Tribolium castaneum: one gene and its partner. The protein of the gene in region 1 purifies or fractionates together with the protein of each later gene. This does not show direct contact. Links are inferred from orthologs where the notes say so. Each region holds a gene or a part of one and is shown on either strand. Other genes may lie near its edges. The genes, in order: Myb and lin-52.

The links.
Region 2: the proteins of Myb (region 1) and lin-52 purify together in Drosophila melanogaster (affinity purification with western blotting; 3 studies listed by BioGRID, with this or other methods). This does not show direct contact. The link is inferred for Tribolium castaneum from reciprocal best matches to the Drosophila melanogaster genes Myb and lin-52.

What each region holds. Positions count from the first base shown.
Region 1 is NC_087396.1:14,741,561-14,745,389, reverse strand, and holds part of Myb (myb-related protein B), read right to left. Parts: intron 1,459-3,829; coding exon 1,329-1,458; intron 1,160-1,328; coding exon 1,010-1,159; intron 399-1,009; exon of another isoform or gene 89-398; intron 1-88. UniProt on the Drosophila melanogaster protein: DNA-binding protein that specifically recognizes the sequence 5'-YAAC[GT]G-3'. Component of the DREAM complex, a multiprotein complex that can both act as a transcription activator or repressor depending on the context.
Region 2 is NC_087402.1:6,135,767-6,138,951, reverse strand, and holds lin-52 (protein lin-52 homolog), read left to right. Parts: upstream 1-1,568; 5' UTR 1,569-1,682; coding exon 1,683-1,716; intron 1,717-1,909; coding exon 1,910-1,999; intron 2,000-2,050; coding exon 2,051-2,152; intron 2,153-2,205; coding exon 2,206-2,351; 3' UTR 2,352-2,598; downstream 2,599-3,185. Other genes in the region: probable protein phosphatase 2C T23F11.1, read right to left, coding at 418-1,036.

The DNA of each region.
Region 1 (3,829 bases):
TCGAAGGCATTATTATTTATAAAAATAGAAATTCATATATTTTGATATCATTGATCGAATTTTCTGGCTAATATATTGTTTTCCACAGGTAAAACTTTGTGGCAGGTGCAAAAGATCAGTCTTGTTTGACGGAAGAATAACACTGAAAAGTGCCAAGTCATTTTTAAAACAAAAGGAATTAATGCACTTTTTTAAGACGCGGAATAATGGATTAAGCTGTTACCCAATTATGGATAAAACTTCAACAATGTATTCCTGTAATATAAGACCGTTGTCGGCAAGCGCACATGGTGTACACAAACAAACACAAACAAGAAAACAAACACAGTAGAGGTGGATACAATTTATTATTGTTTGAAAATAAGATAAGCTCCGAATTAAACAAAATAATTTGTTAACTGAAGTTATTCAAGCTTTGGCGGAAAATTACCACTTAGTGCATAATGTAAGCAAATTAATGAACTGTGGGAAATTTATCGCATATTTATGATAACCCGTGCAGTCCATCTCACTGCAACTCAGTCGTAATCATTTCTATGGCTATTAAGAAGCCGATCGAGCGTACTAATTAAAGCCGCACCGGAGAAATACGTTTGGAAGGGCCACCGTTACGCACAAAATTCGGACCTGGTGTTTGCTAATTTTGGCTTGTTGACATTATTTTCCCCCGAGTCGAACGATGTCTTCGCCCCTTTTTTCTCGGTGCGCCCAAGCATGTCGAGATATCCAAGACAAAAGCGAAGAAACCCTTCTGTAGAATTTCTCGCTATACCGGTTCCCACCATGAACGGAAGAGGGGCAATGCCCTTTGTGTGTTACCTCTACACATTCATTGCACAAGACGTCTCGTAATAAGAAGAAAAGCAATTTTCTCTCAATAGCCGATGGAGATACGCTCATCAAAAGACAAAAAGGAAGTAACGCGTCATTAAAGAATTTTTTCCGGACGCTCGGAGAATGCCGATGAAGGCAGGCGTCCTTGGCTGTTAGTAAATCGGGTCACGCTCACCTCTTTGGTCCAGGGGCCCTTGACCAGTTCGGGATTCACCACTTTGGTCCAGCGCTGCTGGCATTGGACGTCCGACCTATCTGGGAAAAGCTCCGCAATCACATCCCATTTCTCGTTGTATTCCTCCACCAGCTGCTTCAAACGGGCGTCCTGTAATCAATTTGGACATTAACAAACTGGAATTTCCATCTATTATCTAGTCTGTCAACGGCGAGCTTGCTAAATAATAGCAAAGCGAGCTAATGAAACGATAATTAATTCAAAGCAGGTGTTCGATAAAGAACACCAGCTATATGTTAAACTATTTTCTCTTCCTTACCTCCTCTTTGCTCCACCGGCCCTTGTTTATGGGTTTCTTCGTTTTGGAATGTTGAGGTTCTTCGGTGAATGCTGAAGAGTCGGAATCCTCATTTCCAGAAATGTCGATTTCCGAATCTTCCTTTCGGTATCTGCAACAATAGAAATCTGCTTAGGGCGGGAACAAAGGGGGCGAATTTTTCCCACCAAAATTTGGGGGACTTTGCGTAACTTTAGAATGCAATGGGATCAAAGGTCAAGCCAGGTGTATGAAGGCAATCAACACTGCAGGGTGGCTTTTACAAAAAATATTCTTTTCCCAAAATCTAGCAATCAAAATAATCATTCGATGTCTGAAAATCTCCCCTTTCTACGATCAGCATACACAGGCTTCAACATGCAACCACCCCTCTGCACTTAGTCATAGCAATGACCAAGTTCGGGGTCGGCCTCACCCCATCATTGTGGGCCTTCCCCTCCGAAATTTTCCTATGGGAATGGCCTATTTTCTATTCAGCGTAAGAAGATTCACAATGCAAATAATCTTCCGAATATCTTTTACCTGGCAGGTCTCGATTAAACCAGACCCTTTGTGTGTTTGTGAGACCTCGTTTAATCAGCGGCAAAGTAAAATTCGCTCCTTCCGAAAACCAACCACCCTATGGCGGAAATGCGTGACAATGACAGGAAGCCTTCCTTTAAGTGCGTTCGTCAAGCATATCGCCACAGACCGGATGACCTAATATCGTTTTTATAATGAAGTTCGATCAATGAGATAATATTTCCTCCGAAGGGCAATTAAAATAATCACTTTTCGTTTTATGCGGATTGTTTATTGGCGCTGATGAAGCTACCACCATTTGGAACACGAGAGAAACCAGATACACTGCCATATGTTGTCGATTTATTTACACTCGATCTGACTTCACCAGACGCATACCGTGAGCATTAGCAGCGAATGCTCGACAATGGGAAATTTTTAGCGTCTAGTTGCGGAAAAAGCGTTCAACGGCTCCACTGCGCCCACGCTGGGAGGATTTGTTTACAGCCACCGCTACTCCATGGGAGAAAACGAAAAAATGTCACGAGTATCGTTCTAGTCCTGGTGCGATTTTAGGATCAATTTGAAAAGGATAAATAAAGATGAGATAGTGGATCCTTATCTTATTTACATTACACCCAGTGACAAATATGGATATTCATTGACTCTCTGTGCATGAATTTACTTCGTTAACAATGCTTTCAGAGTTTAGTATGCACATAAATTAGTACACTAATACTTGTACACTTTTCATGAAAATGTATTACCAATTAACGAGTTACGTCAGGTGTTCTTATAGACAATGAGCGCGTAAAAAAGACTTAAAATATTTTCAAATCCGTTGGATATATTATTACCGACAAGAGTAATAATAATAATAAGAAACAGGAACAGAAAAAATATACAAAAAAATGTTTTAATGGATTAGATTCGACATAGGCCCAAAATTTGGGGTTCCCCGTGTGCGGAAAAATATCTTTTGAACAGAACTCTTGGGAAAACAACTTCGGGATCAGACTTTATGGAACAATGTTGGAAGATCATATCGGATGCTGTTTTTCAAGACAAGACACGTTTATGTCCATATTTTCAAATTTGCATACTTTACAATGACCTCGCGGTCGGTGGCAAAATAAGGTGGATAAGCAAGGGTTTAAAGCCATAAAGATGCCGCTTTGTATTTTTCATGTACCTGGAAGAATTGTGTACATCACCAAAAATTAGTAGGTTAATTAGTGCAGTTTCGAAAGGTTTTATTGTAGTTTTATGTGCGCTTGGAATTATTCAAATTAAATTAGGCCATTTCCCGGTAAATTGTCGGGTTTAAAGCAGAAGTGTTGTTATTTAAATTTCTGTGAAACCGGATTATGGAATAATATTCTCGGTACGTCAACCACCATCCAATTGCCACTTTTCCTCGACCTTCACTCTGCAATTTGCTGCTTACTTTTCCCCGTCTCGAAGTCAATTACCACCGCAGTAGGTGGCAGCGCTACCAACTGTCGCCGAAACCGTCTTCTCCTGGATCAAAACGAAATTGAAGGTAGCACGTGTCTGCGACATATGTGCTTTTCTAGATGAATTGCACCTGTCTTCCGAGGGGATGTGGGCGAAAGGGTCCTTGCCTTACACTGGACATTGAACTGCACTACAGTTAGGCCGGAGTAATGAACCAGAGGATATAGGGGTAGAGGATAATGCACCTGATTGGCGAACGACCGATATTGCTTTAATTAGTGGACGGCTGCTGCGGCCTTTGTGTTTTTCGAGATACGACGACAATTAAAACGATTTACCCCTTCGAATGTACAATGTACCCCATCGTATTGGCAATATGCCGCGTTTTGACACGGGGGTGTTACGCAGCTGCCGCTCGTGTGTGTACAATAGCGATGCGTGGGGCTAGACCGCATCTGCGCTGGTGTTGCTATACCAAAAAGACCCAAAAGAATCGGGCACGTGACGATTATCAGAATGGATGT
Region 2 (3,185 bases), on another chromosome or scaffold:
GATGTAATACAAGAAAAAATTGCGTCAAGTGATATCACGAATGTTTTTCTTCGGATGTCGGTGTGTTAACAACCTGACGTAGTTCAGATAATGCACACTTTGTGACGTTATACGAGGCGATAAGTTAGTCTTTTAATCACTTAGTGGTGGTCGCCTATTAATAACAATTGTAAATATTTTTAATTAATGAATGACACAAGTGGAACACCGCCAGATTACTTAATTCGTAACATATGCTGACAACGTAACTTTAAAAATAACACACCCTTTGAATCAAATGGGACCATCCATCAACTGATGTAATTATTTACCTAAGTACCCAATTACTCACTTGATCTAAATATACACAATTCATAAAAGACTAACATAAATATTGACAGTGTTTAAACAAGATTAGCTCGCAATTTCCAGACTTACCTGTAACGATTTGTTCCTCCTGGGGTTTATCCTCGTTTCTTTTGAAAATAAAATCACCGAGGGCCCTGGAAAGGGCCAAGTTCCCGTTAACCCTGTTGTAATCAACAAACCCTCCCGCCGCTACGATCCTGTCGTACTCCTCCTTGTTGTTCGGCTTGTGGTCGTTCGAAAGCGGCTCCGCCTTGCCCCCAATGCTCGCCACAGCTCTAGAGTCCCCCACGTTGGCGCAGTACAACGTGCCATTTTTGATAATAATAGTGACGGCTGTGGAGCCCGACTGCTCGTTTCTCAACGACTCATCCTCCAGCATGACCCGGTCGATCTCCAAGAAGGCCTGCTTCAGCCCCTCCTCGATCTGGCCGTTCTTGTACTCCTCCCGGTTCGTGATAAACTTGTGCAGGTGCTTGCCCGCGTACTCCGAGATCTTGGAGCCCCCATGCCCGTCGTAGACCGCGAAAAACGCGGCCTCGGGGTCGTCCGGCAGGGACAAGATGTGCGTATGGGAGTCCTCCATGTTGATGCGCCAGCCCTGCATCGAACTTGAGCCCACTTGGAAATTGGCGTTTTGGCAGCATGCTGTGTTCTTGGCAGTCACCGGTTCGGACAAAGTTTGACCCATAGTACCCCTGAAAGGGCGATAAGTCCGCAAAAAGCGCAAAAACACGAGGCAAGCGGGAAAAAACCGTCGCTACTTACTCAAAATTGAACTCTGCTCTTTGGATGGGTTTTATTTAGCATACTTGTGCTAAATCGAATCGCATATTTTGCGTACGCTAATTAACACCGCTTTTTGCTGTTGTGTGTCACGAGATATGGAACGCAATATTTAGGTTAATCGGGAGAGAACTCTTCGAAAAAAGAGAAACTTGACGTTTGAATGTCGAGCTGGGACGCGGCCGGCTGAGTGCGTCATCGCCTGTGCACAAGGCCGAAAACTTTTTTATGTCCTAAACAATAAAAATGTGCGGCACGTTCTTCAAATAAAAACTATTGACAATAAATTCGTTGTTACTTATTACTAATTAAATTACGATTTGATTTTACAATCTTGGCGAGGGAAGCGCCAACATTGCGACACTTAATACACCAGCCAAATTTAAAAACCAAACTTTTACGAAATTGGGGGCAAGTGAATCGGGGTTGACACCCAATTAGGGTCATTTGCGACTTTTGCTCGTTCTGTATAGTGTTTCTTTGCCGCTTTCAAAGTCCCCCTAAAAGCGCAGCCTTTTGATTACGTTTGCTGCAGTTGGCACAATTGCAAGATGGCGTCCGAGAAACCCGGGAGCATTGAACAAGGTAAAGCATTTTTAATAAAAAATCACCCTGTAAATGTTACTTTTGGCTCAATTTAATTATTAAACGATTGTTGAGGCCTTGCATGGACAGTTTACGCGAAATTGTCGGCTAGCGTGCGTGGACAAGTTCGCATTTTAAACAGAGTGGCTTATGTCAATCTGTCAAAATATAATTGATTTGTTGCATTTCCTAGAGCAAGATCAATCTTTGAGCGATCTAGAGCAGACCTTAATGAGTATGGAAAATCTGGATAGAGCCTCTCCAGAAATTTGGCCAGAGAAGTGTAAGTAGCGTTGCACATGTTTGTGGGATTAGGGCAATAATAGGGTTTCAGATCCAGGAATGACAGATTTTGTAAACAGTTTCACGCCACCAAGTGCCGTAAAACTGCCTTACTCGAAGGAATTGAGTCAGGATGACCAGAATTATCTGCACCGTAAGTTTGGATTAGTTTTTGTGTGATTGTAGAGAAGAGTGTGGTTTTTGTAGAATTAGCAGCTCTTCCAACAGCTGGACTGATTTCTAAAGTCAAGGAGTTGCATGATATTGCATATCAGTTGGGTGTTGAGGAATCGAAAGAAGTCACAAGGGGGAAATACTTAAATGTTTTTAAGCCCAGGCAGAAGCAGAAATGATTTGCAATTTGTTACCTAAGTAGAGGTTCCAAATAACGTGGAAGTTATAAAAAGAGCAGGGGAAATATATTTGTACATAGGATTATAAGTTTAAGTTTAAAGAAGTGATTGTACGTTAATTTCCTGGAGAAAATCATTTTTGTAATGTATTATTAAGCAAGTGCTTCAAAAGGATTTATGTATTATATTGCACTGCTGAAGTTTCGTTTGTATAATAAAAATCGAAAATAAATTTGGTTTTGTAAAAGGTGTCTTCATTTTCTACAATTAAAATTTTGTTCCCCGTTAGCTCACCAAAACAATAATGAGGTGATGCATTATTATTATTATTATTATTATTATTATTACTGAACCCAGCAGCTTCCTAGATTAAAAATATCCGGTGGAATGTAAATTGATAATTATTTTTGCAGGAGATTAAGCTCTCTAATAGGGCCTTCAACTGTAAAAAATCATGTTCGGACAAACATTCCTTAGGACCTTAACATTTTTTTAATTTTTATAAAATTTCTCGATTTTGCAAATTGCGTTAAAAAACTCGTATTTAAGGATTGCTCTAATTAGTCAAATTAATAACTCATTTGTCCAGCAAGAACCAGAAGAAGGTTTAGAACATTCTTGCCAGGAAAAAAGGAATTAAGGATGAGGTAAACAATGATTATTAGAAAATAAAGGAATTATTTATGAAAAAAAAACAACACATAAATCAAATATTTTTTACTTGGCGTTAAATAAGATGCACCTACCTTCATATGGTTTCTGCGTTGGCTACTGTTTGTAGTTTGAAAATGTAAAAATTTTTACTTTTATGAATTTTGTGTCCGTTTCTGCTCT